Linked DNA regions of Arabidopsis thaliana. The protein of the gene in region 1 interacts with the protein of each later gene in a pairwise test. Each region holds a gene or a part of one and is shown in the gene's direction. Other genes may lie near its edges.

Region 1 (7,338 bases):
AAATCACATGCAGTTGTACGTATTTTCATGTACTTACTCTGTTTCGGTTGCATCTACAAAGTCCGATTTTAACAAATTCGTTTAGTTTCGATTCAGTATTGGTCCCGTGAATTATTTGGAGTTTTGTATAAATTGATTAATAATATATGTGATGAAAGAGTTGGTGCCTTTGACGTACGGCATAGACTTAGAGTATAGAGACGTGGTGGTCTTGTGTAACTCAAGTGTTGTCATGTCGGAGTCACTGTGGGACTGCTCTACTCGAATCTAATTTGGGCCTTTCTGAAACCCTAAAACCGATTTTGTTCCAATCTCAGTTTGGACCCCTCTTCTCTCACCTTAGATGGGCTTTTGGATCCTCGATTCTTCTCCTCTGTTTTCCTTTTTGTTTTTATGTTTCTTAACCCATCAAAGAGTTTAATAATTGAAAAGAAAAAGAGTTTGATCGGTTTTATCTAAAAAATCTATATAGCAGCCATTTTGTGAAATAAATCCTATAGTTGGGAATTATTTACAATAACTGCCACTAGATTTTAATGTTTGTTTTTGATAATTAGAAAAAAAAATCTTTGAATAATTAAATATTTGACATTTAACAATCTTCCCTAAATCTCTCAACATTAACTACACGATTAGTTACTAAAATAAAACTTGCAAAATATTTAATATCATTTAATTATTACAAAATTATTATTTTTGATATTGCTTTTCTCCATGACTATAATAATTCGATTATAATCATCAAACCGCAGAGATATTTGATAGCATTTAATTACTACAAAATTACAAAATATTTAGACAATAATTCATAAACATATCATAAATAAGATCAATATTAATAAAATAAATAGTTTTTTACGGGACGGGTTGGCGGGACGGGTTTGGCAAGACGTTACTTAATAACAATTGTAAACTATAAAATAATTTTTTTTATAGATAGATACAATTTGTAAACTTTTATGTATACTAACTTTTAGAAAATATCTAGTAAGGTTTAAAAGTGAACCAAACCACAATAAAGTGTTTCTTATAGAGTGATTATCCCAAGACTTGTAAGTCTTAATTCTCGGTTTAACCCTCAAATATACTTTAAAAGGTTAGAAAATGTTGCATTTACTAGATTTTTAAAGTTATCAAAAAGTTTTTGGAGAAACAAAAAACATATTGTGGATTCCAGATAAACTAGACAGTAGTCGCATATATAGATGTATAGATGTAAGTTAATTTAACAAATGATTTCTTAATATCTATTGGTTTTAGATTTTCAATTAGTATTGAATTTTTATTTTAGAGATGGTTCACTACTACGATAGATCAATTAAAACGTTAAAATGAATATAAGTTCTGACAATGGACAAAATGAAACACTGGTTTAAAGAATGAGTAAGATATCTTTGTTAATAGCAAAGCAATAATTTAGTAAGGTTTTCTAACTTTCCGGTAAAACCCCGAAGTAAGTGAAAAGGTTCCCACATTTGTCTGTGTAGGTAAACAAGAACACTTGACCAAGAAAGACAATAAGAACACATGAAAACAAACACATATTTGACATATAATATGATAACTTCTATTTGCTTGTTTGTGAAATGTAGATAAAACAAAGTAAACACAAAGAAAAAATAGTGATATTCAAAAAGGAAATAGGATGGTCAAAATTGTGTGGTGAGATAAGAAAGGGCACTCACATGTTCACACGATGGAACACTAACGTGTGAGGTTAATGATTGCTTTTGCCACACTACCCATAAACTTCAGAAGGAATTTTTAAAAAAATTAGAAGTTTTTCTATAGTTTCTTTTGAGTTGAATACAAATATAACTTTAACAATAATATATAGTGCAAAAGCTAAAAATATTTCTATAAGATATACTTTTTGGTCGAGAGGTTGAGTATAGAGGGGACACCAGCTGCCCCAAAACCATCACGCTCCATGGACAAACTTTCTCCACCTTTTTTTTTCCTTCTTCTTCTTCTCTTAGTTTTCTTCAATATTATTTTATTAAATTCGCCATAAAATTATAGTTTATAGAAAACAATTATTAAAAAAGAGAGAAAGGGAAAAGGGAGAGTGATGAGAAGAGTCGGTCCTTTTTGTCTCATAGAGCCAATGGCCCATCAATTTTATTTCCTTTTGTCAGTCTCCTTTTCTCACGCTTCCTCTTCCTTTAATCCCACATTCACCTTCTTCTTCATATATATTCCAATTTACTAATGGTCTAATTGGCTATATTATTGAGTCATTTGGTTCATATATCCCCAGCCTCCCATAGAGGCAAGTTGGTGAGCCATTTTCTATAAACAAAACGGATACCTATTGAAGAAACCAGAATAGAGATACATAGCAAACATAGTATCTCTACAATATTTCAAAACACTTTCATTATAAATATAACAGATATGTACAAACCTCACTAGATACGGATACACATCATTATACATTCTAACATATTCTTCTTATTCACACGAAACTTTAGAGCCAAAATTCGATTAGTAAAATAAACTAAAAGAAAGTAAATTAAAGTAAGTTTTCAGTATTTTTGGTTAATCCTCTCAAGTCTCATCACACTTTCATTGTACATGTAGCCGTACATAATATGAAATTTGGCGTCCTAAATATACAACGTATATAAAGTGTTACTTTTTCGAATATACGTTTAAGCATTTTTGTGTCATGCATAAATGCACGTCTTTTCCATATGATCAACAAAAACAGTAGACTAGACATTTCGCTAACACTTAATTAATCTCAACTAAAAGTAAAACAGTTCGTCATAATCACATGGATATATACGAATATATAAGAAAGAAAGAAAACCAGGCACTGCTTATATTCTTTGGTCTGAAAAATGTGGTCAAATGTACACATTTAGAAAGACATGAACAAAGAAAGAGATAGGAGAGTTTGGATTCATTTGGGGACAAAGGTGACATAAGGGTCGCTTTGAAACTCACAGCATACAAACATAGACCTTCTCTTCACTATATATACATATATATTCACATGTATAGTGTGTATATGTAAATCGAAGTACCCTAGTTTCTTTTGGACTTCACCAATCACATCTGTTACTTAGATTCTTCTACGTCGACAAATATTCCCACAATCTCAAAACCCTAGTCATCACACCAACAACCAAAAAGATATATATAAATAGAGGAAAATAACATGACAAATATTCTTTATATATAATATAGATCTTTTTCTTTTTCTTGAAAAAGAAAAAAAAAAGAAAAGAAAAAGAACACACCAAACCTACTTACAACATTTGCTTACACTCCCAAGACTTAGTAACTAAAACCATATAACATATATATTATTAAAGAGGAATAAAAAAGGTTTTGGTAATTATAACCAAGTTAATTATGATCATACCCTATATATATTAATCAATTATAGACTTTTTAGTGTGCTCAATTCTCATCATTTCACACCATTATGATGTGATCCAGCGCACGACGCCGCTTTGACCGTTCTCCTCCTCCACCACCAGAACTACGTTCCATCAACGACTTGCTTGACCGCTCAAGCAGCGACTTGAGAGCATTTTGCAAAAAATGCACAGACTCGACGCCGTGCATCTCTTTGTCAGCAGCTACGACAAGAACACTTCTTGTCCGACCACCAATGGTTACCATCTCAGCTCGGAGAGTCTTCATGTTAAGAGACTTGAGAATCTCCATAAGGTCCGGCAAGAGATCTGATCTATCTTCACAACATAGAGAGGCTTTGAAGATTATATGACCGTCGTTTGAATAGTCTCCAAAGTGTAGAACACTAATTTCGTCGGTCTCTGATGGTAATAATGTTTGGTCGGAGTCGGAGGTCTCTAGGGTTTGCTGTTTAAGTTCTCTGACTCGTTGAACTACTTTGGCGAGCAGTGTGGCTTTATCGGTCTGAAAATAGAAACATGAAATTACAATGAAAAGTTTGGATCAAGAAGTTGAAATTTGATGTTTGTATCAAATCAAATCAACTGAAAAAGCTTGAGAACTTTCCCAAAAAGTGATATACTATCCCAACGAGCTTCACAAAAAGGCCATGAAGCTTTTCGTTTTTCTCATCTGATCACTACTCGCCAGTTTTGAATATTCAAATCAAAATATATATCAATCTTTAGAATTATAAATGTAGAAAATTAGGGATCATCTTTGATAAATATGTGCTTGTTAATAAGTAAGAATAGTAAGACAAAAAAGACTCAATTGAAACCAAATGATTATAAAATGTTATCATGAAAAAGTACAGTATTCATGAGCTAACACCAAATCGAATGAAACATGAGAAAATTTTAAAGATGTAAACTCTGGGTTAGAGAAGATGCAAAACCCTAATTATATACCCATTTCAAAAATCTTTTCTTAAAATTTCAAAGAAATATATACGTACAGATGTATAAACATCATATGTACGAGGAGAGATACATACGCCAAATGAAAAAGTATCAAAAGTTTATATTACCTTAGAATTACAAGAGAGTACGTTACGAAGCTTGTTGAGATGAGAATTGATCCTCTCTCTCCTTCTTCTCTCAGCTTCTTTGTGGTTCCTCAAAGCAGCTAAAGCTCTGTCTTGAGCCATCGTTTCTCCGATGCCGGAGATCGCCAGTGGGTAATACGATGACGTCGACGACGAAGACCCACATAAGCTCTGCATAGTCGTCATGTAGTCGCCGGAGACGCAGTACCCTCCACCGCCGACTTCGTTTCCGGCAAGAAACGAGTACAACATCTGATCTGAGGTCTCTGGTTGCATTATCTTTTGTTTGCGCCGCCTTCTTTTGGTTTTTTGTTAATTAATGGGGTTTGTGGAGCTTTCGGTGGGTTCTGTCCTAAAAGATGGATTATATATACGTGAAATGAGAGGGTAGAGAGTGTAGATTATTTTTTTTATTTTTTTTATTTTAGATGTTAAATACTTGATTTTTGTATTTATATATATATTGGTGGGGAAAAAGTTGCTATAGAGTTTGAAATTTTTAGGAAGGGTCCTTAATTAGGTCATTGTCTTGCCACCATCATCATTCTAAATAGTTCTATATGATCCATCAATTGAACTGAAGATACATACGGACTTTTGGGACTATATAGTATATTACTGCATTTCCAAAATTCAAAAATTCAAAAACAAATCTCAAAAAATTGAACATTCTTTAAATCTTTACTTATGAATAATAATGATGTTTTACCACTACCATAATAATGATCCTTTAAGTTATTATGATAAGATACCATTTCTAAGGTATTAAAGATAAACAATAAAAGGCATATCCTGATATGATTTATGCTGCTTCTATCATTGTGTTTTGTCCGGATAAATCTCACACAGTGCAATGCGATAACATAAATTTGTTATTTAACAAAAATTAAATAATATACAGTATTTGTTTTAACTTAATGTCTGGAAAAACTTGAGTATTCAAAAGCCCTAATTTTTTTTTTTTGACAACATAAAAGCCCTAAATAATCAACAAATTTGATAATCATAAGAGAAAGCTACTGCAGAAAAATAATTTACGAATGAGACAACCATATGATATGAGGAAGGCTTCGCCATAAAATATGGGCCTAAATTATATAAAAAATAAGGACCCAAATAGTGGCCCAATTACAAAGTTTTGGTAAAACGGTGACCACAAAACTGGCGCAAGCCAGAACCATGCAGTAGAGACAGAGCTCGACCTTTGACTTTGATAATGGCAGTTTCTTCGAAACATTTCCAGGTTCCTTCATCTTTCACGCTTCCTCCATCTTCTTTCTTCAGCTCCTTAATCCCTTCTTCTCCAATCTCTGTTACTGCTTCAACGATTCGAGCCTCCACAAAATTTAGCTCCATACGCGTCCGTTTCAGTCGAAGATCAATCGTCAGATACAACGACCACGCCGGAGAAGACGAAGAGGATAGTGACGAGGATAAGGAAGAATATTGGAGCTTTGAGGAAGCAGTGACTCTCTTCAACAAGAGGGATTATTACAAAAGTCATGACGCGCTTGAAGCTCTTTGGATTCAAGCAGAGGAACCAACTCGTACCTTAATCCATGGAATTCTTCAATGTGCTGTTGGATTTCACCATCTATTCAACAACGTAAATCTACTCTCCTTTTAACTCCATCTATTGCTCGTTTTCGTTCACGTTTGAGGTAATTTTAGTGAGTGTTTTGGGATTTGAAGAACCATAAAGGAGCGATGATGGAGTTAGGAGAAGGAGTATGTAAGCTAAGGAAGATGAATTTCGAAGACGGACCGTTTCATGAATTCGAGCGAGATGTCTCCGCAGTTCTTGAATTCGTTTATCAAACTCAGCTTGAACTTGCTGCCTGTAAGTTTTGAATTTTGAATTTTTGATTGAGGAAACCATTTAGCAAATTGAACCTAATTGTGACACTCAAGAAATCTGAATTGATTGATGATAGGTTCAGAAGATATGTGTTTGACGATGGATCAATCAGACAGATCGTATCAACTCTTAGGTGGTTATGCAGCTGGAGAGAGTATTTACAGCTTAGAGACTGTGCTTGACTTCAACAATGGAATGTCTGAGACAACTTCTATACTCTTCTCTCCTTTACATTCATCGTCTGAGCCAACTCGGGTTAAGCTCCCTACCCTTACCGCAACCGATAAGCATCTTCTTGCTTCTACATACGACGACAGATTCTAAAGAGAATGATCAATACGAAGATAATAGAAGAAGATCTCATTACTGTTATATTTCAAGAATCAGGTTCTGAACCTGTCAATAACATGAACAATGAGTCATTTAGACAAAAGGTAAAAACACATAACATTCCTGTCTTTTTAACCAGCAAAAACCAGCCATGAATGAAATTTTAGAACAAAGCGAAGGAACATTCTTTATGAAATTACATAAGAAGGTAGTCAAAAAAAAAAAAGGAGAAAGCCGAAGAAGTTGTTTCAATCCTCACTTAGCCATCATAACCTTCACAAACTCTTCGTAGTTGATCTGACCATCACCATCAACATCAGCTTCCTTAATCATCTCATCAACTTCTTCATCAGTAAGCTTCTCGCCGAGGTTAGTCATCACATGTCTCAATTCAGCAGCTGAGATGAAACCGTTCTGGTCTTTGTCGAAAACTCTGAAAGCTTCCTTGAGTTCTTCCTCAGAGTCAGTGTCCTTCATTTTCCTAGCCATTAGGTTCAAGAACTCCGGGAAATCAATGGTTCCGTTACCATCCGCATCAACTTCGTTGATCATGTCCTGAAGCTCAGCTTCGGTTGGGTTTTGACCGAGGGAACGCATCACGGTACCAAGCTCCTTTGTGGTAATGCAACCTACACAAAGTAATCAAAGATTGGTGTTACTACGATGCAAATCC
Region 2 (7,899 bases), on another chromosome or scaffold:
AGATGCTTCAAGGTTATGCCTTATAGTACTGGTTGTAAAACACCACTATCTAATTTTGAAGCTGGTCAGAACTATAAGGTATGTTGTTGTTGGCCTTGTTGCTAATGAAGATTATAACATTCTGTTGTTGCATTTTTTTTTTTTTTTTTGTGTTAAATATATATATTTTTTTTGCATATTTATTGTTGCATATTGTGTTGCATATTTAGTAATGGTTACATTCCCTGTTATCGGAGATCCAAGATAATACGGCTCTTGTGGCATGGACTACTACTCCATGGATTCTTCCAAGTAATCTTGCTTTGTGTGTCAATGCAAAGTTTGTCTATCTTAAGGTTCGTCAACAACACTGGAAAAGTCTACATTGTTGCTGAATCTCGGTTGTCATCGCTTCCTAGTGATAAGCCTAAGGCCGGCTTAACTAATGGAACTTACTAGTGATACCATAATGCGAAAGGTGCTAATTAAGCTTGACAGTGAAGAGGATTCTTATCAAGTTTTGGAAAATTTTAATGGAGATTCCTTGGTTGGGAAGAAGTATGAACCTTTGTTTGATTACTTTTAGCGATTTCTCAAGTGTGACTTTTCGACTAGTAGCAGATGATTATGTCATGAATGATAGTGGTACTGGTATTGTCCATTGTGCTCCTGTCTTTGGTGCAGATGACTATCGTGTTTGTCTTGAGAACGAGATAATTAAGAAGGTTAGATTTGACAACATCTTCCTTATATCACCACCTTTAACATTAAGTTTATTTTCTTTCTTGTTTAAGTTTACAGTATCTTCAAGAACCCATGTTCATGACACATTTTGTTCATGTGTTGTTTAGATTGTCAGAGATTTCAAACGTCCAGATGGTTTGAAAGATACAGAGATTGATGCAGCTGTAGATAGTACATATCTTAATTAAAAATACCACTTCTCTATGCTCTATTGTTGAGGAAACATATAATATTTGCATTCGTTCATGGTTCAGATATGATGTTATGGTAATTCTTGATCTACGAGAAGATGAATCTTTGAAAAACGAAGGTGTTGCCCGTGAGGTAAATAAATGTAACCGAAGCGATTAATGGTCATATATAAGTTGTATATTTGATATATGGGTTTCCTTCTCATTGTGCTCATGCATTGAAAAGCACCCTGTTATGACTGTGGTTCTAGGAGAACATTTGCATTTGACAGTCGGTGACTAATTGTTAAGCAAGAAGAACGCATGAGAGCCTTTTAAAGTGTTTTCTTCTAGATCGTTGCAAAAAGTTAAATGTCTCTTGAGACTTTGTACTCATTCTATAGATAAAGATGGGATTTATTACAAAAACAACAAGAAACTTTGTTACTTGTGGAAATTCAAAATTATCCGAACTAGCTTCACAAAATATGCTCAAGAGTTTCAATGTATTTTTTTTTGTTCTGTAATTGTATGACTCCGTTTGAAGCATCAAGATTATGGTTATAGGTAGTGATGCTAAAACTCTCTGTTGTTACAGTGACCACTAAAAACACCAACAAAAAAAACTTAGGTAACGTGTCGTCTAAAAACTTCTAGGTTCAATTTCTTTAGATAGTACTATCAATAAATAAAATAAATATGTACAAAGGCTTTAAACAATGATGTTTTTCAAAGATGATTGGTAGATACTAATTAGAGCTTCAATATAAAAGAACACATGCGATTCTGACATTCTGTGGTCTAACATGGTTTCTTCTAGAGTCAAAACCATACAATTAAAAGTTAGGAAAGTAATAGCAATGTGGTTTCAAATATATACTCATTACTCTTTAGATTCATGTATGGTGAAGGAAACATTATAATAAAATCAAAGATCACAGTTTTGTAGGTCCCTCATATTAATCAACATCTTAAGGCGTTATACATATCTTCTTTTTGTAAATATTTGACTAATTAAAATATCTAATTAGAGTATTAGACTAATCTCATCAAATATCCGACTACTTGTGTCAGTTCAAAACACAGTGATTACGTTAGATTTTGTGCTCTTTTGTTTATAAACAAAGCTAATTTAAGAAATATATGATCTATTTGCCTCCTTGGTCTTAATTTTATACTTTCTTGGAATAAAACACATTTATTAAAATAATTTTTAGGTTCCTAGATTCATGTCATGTGGCTTGATAGTTTCCAACAATTATACCAATATTTTACTCATTCATATACAAATAAACAAGCTTTATTCTATTCTTCAGTCTCATGATATACGGGATTTTGATAAAATTCAGAGTACCCATTAATTATTCTATGTTACAGCTTGTAATAAGTTAAATTTATAAAACGTACAAGTTGAGGAAATAACAAATGTTTTCAATATTAAATGATTTATTAATACATTAGTGACCAAAAAATTATTAAGTGTAAGAAAAAAAACACAACTCAGAAAAAATTCAAAAGACCGTCTAAGTTCGGTTCATGTAAGAACAAGTGGGACCTCTTTAAGTTTCTAAATCAGAGAATAAAGAAGAAGAAAAAATCTCAAAACCTTCCTCTAAAACCAACGGCTCCTACCTTTACTTACACCCTATACATACACTTCTCTTTTTATCCTCCATCGGCGGCTTATGGCGGTTTTCCGGCACTAATCATCTCCGGCATATATAAATAAACGTACTTCACGTTTTTTTATATAACTTCAAAGTAGTTTCAGATTTGTCTCTATCTCTTCACTTTTAAGTCTTCTGGTTTTGTCATCACCAGCTTTTTTTGTTCTGTCTCTGTCTTTCTCTTTGTGTATTTTTATTCTCGTCATCGTTGTTCTTCTATGAGAGGAAGATCGGAATGTCGAAGAGAATTAGAAGATTCTCGTACATCACTTCGTTGGAATTTCACAGGTCGATGAGAGATCTGAGAACTGTTTCATTTTGATCCAAACTCATCTCTTTCAGGTATTCCAAATTTTTCTTTCTCTGTTCTTTCTACTATTACCCAAATTAAAGTTTTGATTTTTATTTCTCACTCTGTTTCTTGTTTTTCTAATTGCAGAGTATAATGGACTAAGCATTTTTTTTCTCCGAAGATGGTTAAAGAAATAGCTTCTTGGTTATTGATACTATCAATGGTGGTGTTTGTTTCTCCGGTTTTAGCTATAAACGGCGGTGGTTATCCACGATGTAACTGCGAAGACGAAGGAAACAGTTTCTGGAGTACAGAGAACATTCTAGAAACTCAAAGAGTAAGCGATTTCTTAATCGCAGTAGCTTATTTCTCAATCCCTATTGAGTTACTTTACTTCGTGAGTTGTTCCAATGTTCCATTCAAATGGGTTCTCTTTGAGTTTATCGCCTTCATTGTTCTTTGTGGTATGACTCATCTTCTTCATGGTTGGACTTACTCTGCTCATCCATTTAGATTAATGATGGCGTTTACTGTTTTCAAGATGTTGACTGCTTTAGTCTCTTGTGCTACTGCGATTACGCTTATTACTTTGATTCCTCTGCTTTTGAAAGTTAAAGTTAGAGAGTTTATGCTTAAGAAGAAAGCTCATGAGCTTGGTCGTGAAGTTGGTTTGATTTTGATTAAGAAAGAGACTGGCTTTCATGTTCGTATGCTTACTCAAGAGATTCGTAAGTCTTTGGATCGTCATACGATTCTTTATACTACTTTGGTTGAGCTTTCGAAGACTTTAGGGTTGCAGAATTGTGCGGTTTGGATGCCGAATGACGGTGGAACGGAGATGGATTTGACTCATGAGTTGAGAGGGAGAGGTGGTTATGGTGGTTGTTCTGTTTCTATGGAGGATTTGGATGTTGTTAGGATTAGGGAGAGTGATGAAGTGAATGTGTTGAGTGTTGACTCGTCCATTGCTCGAGCTAGTGGTGGTGGTGGGGATGTTAGTGAGATTGGTGCCGTGGCTGCTATTAGAATGCCGATGCTTCGTGTTTCGGATTTTAATGGAGAGCTAAGTTATGCGATACTTGTTTGTGTTTTACCGGGCGGGACGCCTCGGGATTGGACTTATCAGGAGATTGAGATTGTTAAAGTTGTGGCGGATCAAGTAACCGTTGCGTTAGATCATGCAGCGGTTCTTGAAGAGTCTCAGCTTATGAGGGAGAAGCTGGCGGAACAGAACAGGGCGTTGCAGATGGCGAAGAGAGACGCGTTGAGAGCGAGCCAAGCGAGGAATGCGTTTCAGAAAACGATGAGCGAAGGGATGAGGCGTCCTATGCATTCGATACTCGGTCTTTTGTCGATGATTCAGGACGAGAAGTTGAGTGACGAGCAGAAAATGATTGTTGATACGATGGTTAAAACAGGGAATGTTATGTCGAATTTGGTGGGGGACTCTATGGATGTGCCTGACGGTAGATTTGGTACGGAGATGAAACCATTTAGTCTGCATCGTACGATCCATGAAGCAGCTTGTATGGCGAGATGTTTGTGTCTATGCAATGGAATTAGGTTCTTGGTTGACGCGGAGAAGTCTCTACCTGATAATGTAGTAGGTGATGAAAGAAGGGTCTTTCAAGTGATACTTCATATAGTTGGTAGTTTAGTAAAGCCTAGAAAACGTCAAGAAGGATCTTCATTGATGTTTAAGGTTTTGAAAGAAAGAGGAAGCTTGGATAGGAGTGATCATAGATGGGCTGCTTGGAGATCACCGGCTTCTTCAGCAGATGGAGATGTGTATATAAGATTTGAAATGAATGTAGAGAATGATGATTCAAGTTCTCAATCATTTGCTTCTGTTTCCTCCAGAGATCAAGAAGTTGGTGATGTTAGATTCTCCGGCGGCTATGGGTTAGGACAAGATCTAAGCTTTGGTGTTTGTAAGAAAGTGGTGCAGGTGAGTTTCCTTACATATCTCTTTCTAAAGTTCCTGTCATTAGTCTGAGTTTCTGTTTAGGAGTTCTTTGATAATGTGTGCAGTTGATTCATGGGAATATCTCGGTGGTCCCTGGCTCGGATGGTTCACCGGAGACCATGTCGTTGCTCCTTCGGTTTCGACGTAGACCCTCCATATCTGTCCATGGATCCAGCGAGTCGCCAGCTCCTGACCACCACGCTCACCCACATTCGAATTCTCTGTTACGTGGCTTACAAGTTTTATTGGTAGACACCAACGATTCGAACCGGGCAGTTACACGTAAACTCTTAGAGAAACTCGGGTGCGATGTAACCGCGGTTTCCTCTGGATTCGATTGCCTTACCGCCATTGCTCCCGGCTCGTCCTCGCCTTCTACTTCGTTTCAAGTGGTGGTGCTTGATCTTCAAATGGCAGAGATGGACGGTTATGAAGTGGCCATGAGGATCAGGAGTCGATCTTGGCCGTTGATTGTGGCGACGACAGTGAGCTTGGATGAAGAAATGTGGGACAAGTGTGCACAGATTGGAATCAATGGAGTTGTGAGAAAGCCAGTGGTGTTAAGAGCTATGGAGAGTGAGCTCCGAAGAGTATTGTTGCAAGCTGACCAACTTCTCTAAGTTGTTATCTCAACTTCTCTTCTACATTCAAAATTTTTACACCATAGATTTATGTCAAATATATCAAAATGAAATTTCGAAATTGTTATTATATATACCACCCATATCTCTATGATTTGTACATCCTGTTTTTTTTTGTTCTTTTTCTCATTTTGAACCCCACGAAATTGCATTGAATCTTAGTATTTCGTAGGGTCAAGAAGGAGTCAGTTTCGTAGTTTTTTGTTTTCTTTATGTTACGAACTTACGAAACTGAATATGGCATTATAGAGTTTTGAAGATAAATTTTCTTCGTTACTACTCTACATCAAGTTAATTCTCTAGTAGGTATTAGAGCTCTCTTAAATTATCCTGGAACATGAAAAGTTGTAGATAATGTCGTCTGCCACTTTTGTAATAAACTTTTCAAACAAAAGAATCATTGAAAAAAATGTGTGACTTTATTAGTTGTTACCAGTAAAAATCAAAATATAGTAATTATTTGTTAGATTCATGCCCCCTGGACTAGAGAAGATTACATTAAACAAAACTGCACATTCCTCGAGCCTATTAAACTAAAAGAACTGCATAAAATAAAGTAGAAATGGATTGGATTTGCAGAAAGTGAATCTAGGGAAGAGATGGGTTTACGTAACTTGCAATTATATATTCAAACCCACTTGTGCTTATACATTTGTTTCTTCGAACCCGACAATCTTTGACAGATTAGTCTTAATTATTAGTTAAAGTACTAATTATTTGATAACTACAGTGAAAACAATCATGTCCAAATAGATAACCACTCTTCACTTTACACTTTCAAGAATCCAAATATTTCCCCCGGCTGCCTACAGTTATTGCGAGTAAAACAGTTTAGAGAAATAAAGAAGAAGAAAAAAGATTGATTTGTTACATTACATCATAAGTAAAATTATGTAAATAACTGATGTGCTAGTCTAAATCGCGTCTAAAATTTTCTTTTGTGTATAAATTAAGAATCTTAGGAAATTTGTGGTACTAGGAAGTTATTATTGTTAGTTATTTTTCATAAGTAACTAATTTCGAAAAACAATTATTCAGAAAATATATAGGCTTATTTAAGTTGATCAAAAATAATTGCTATTATGAAGCCGAAATGATAATGGCTTGAGCCACAAGATCAAGACCAAAGGGGTCGTTCCTAGTCAATATAGCTGACAAAATGATTTGCAAAGTCTTGAAATACCTTATCACCATCAACTCATAAATAGAAGATGTTCGATGTATTATTCATTCCAAAGTCGAACAATATACAAAAGGGACCGATGCATGTGTTAATCTTAATCATACCTCCTTTTTGTTTATACCCAAGAAAAAAAAAAGTATAATATGTGAACACATAACATAGAAGTTTTGCTTTCCCTCTATTTTTGGCTAAAACAGAAAGAAATTCATATCTCTTTTTTAGGTCTAGAAGAAAGAAAAAAAAAAACAAGAACACAAACGTAGATAGAGAATTCTACTCATATTATCCAAAATATAGTCAATTCGATCCAAACTTCTTGTTTGCTTGTGATCACGTCATTCACAAAAGATAAATTAGCTTTGTCTTAACATTATATGTTAGTCAAAGGAATTGAAGTATATCAACTACTGTTGTCTTCTAGTTTACTAGGAGGCCCTTGTTCAATTTTCCTAATTTTCTAAGTTAATTTCCACTAGAGAAATAGGAATATGAATACGAGTTATAAAGTTAATAAAACCAAAACTTTCTTGAATTAATAGTTCAGCAATTTGATGTATTTATATATTCAGCAAAACACATAGGAAGATCTAGCTAGAAATTCTGGAGCTTAGTCTAGATACAAAGACTATGCAGAGACCTTTACCAACGACTGATTTGATATAAAGAGAACTTTGGGCCAAAGGTTGATCTAGTTCTTAGTCAATATAAGGTTAGGCCCAAACCCCAAAAGCCTTGACCCAATATATTAACTTTCTTTTTCATTCTTACACACAACAATCAATAGCAACAATAAATGAAATTCTCATCGTTGACACACAAAAAAAGAAAATCTCAACCACAAAAATGTCAAGCTTGGTTCAAAAAACATCAATGCACTTTTTGCCCTACTCAATCTCTCTCTGATTAAATGCATTCATCACCTAACATCTCTCTCTCTTGTTGGGTTGGCTTTAATATATGTCTTTCAAAAAAGCTCATATTCTTCAATACACACACTTAACTTTGCCTAACTATGAGTTACCATCTCTAACATTGTCTAACTAAGATTGGAGTTATCATTGTTAAAGCTCATATTCTTCAATACACACTTAAAAAAACTCATATTCTTCAATACACACTTAACATTGTCTAACTAAGATTTGGAGTTATCTACAACAGAACTTCAATTTTCACAATCATTTTTTATGTATGCAAACAAAACTAGATATTTAGTATTCACAATGTGTTGAATCATAAACAAATGTATCTATAGAACAA

Evidence for each region.
Region 2: the proteins of AT2G41120 (region 1) and ETR2 interact in a two-hybrid assay, tested with the Arabidopsis thaliana proteins (one study listed by BioGRID).

What each region holds. Positions count from the first base shown.
Region 1 is NC_003071.7:17,140,775-17,148,112, reverse strand, and holds AT2G41120 (DUF309 domain protein), read left to right. Parts: upstream 1-5,627; 5' UTR 5,628-5,693; coding exon 5,694-6,083; intron 6,084-6,169; coding exon 6,170-6,317; intron 6,318-6,411; coding exon 6,412-6,659; 3' UTR 6,660-6,838; downstream 6,839-7,338. Other genes in the region: AT2G41130 (basic helix-loop-helix (bHLH) DNA-binding superfamily protein), read right to left, coding at 3,427-3,894, 4,460-4,753; CAM2 (calmodulin 2), read right to left, coding at 6,921-7,294.
Region 2 is NC_003074.8:8,252,123-8,260,021, forward strand, and holds ETR2 (Signal transduction histidine kinase, hybrid-type, ethylene sensor), read left to right. Parts: upstream 1-2,436; 5' UTR 2,437-2,902; intron 2,903-2,999; 5' UTR 3,000-3,033; coding exon 3,034-4,800; coding exon of another isoform or gene 4,801-4,848; exon of another isoform or gene 4,849-4,883; coding exon 4,884-5,438; 3' UTR 5,439-5,766; downstream 5,767-7,899. Other genes in the region: AT3G23145 (ATP binding / aminoacyl-tRNA ligase/ nucleotide binding protein), read left to right, coding at 16-78, 237-335, 519-704, 831-894, 1,010-1,074. UniProt on the Arabidopsis thaliana protein: Ethylene receptor related to bacterial two-component regulators. Acts as a redundant negative regulator of ethylene signaling.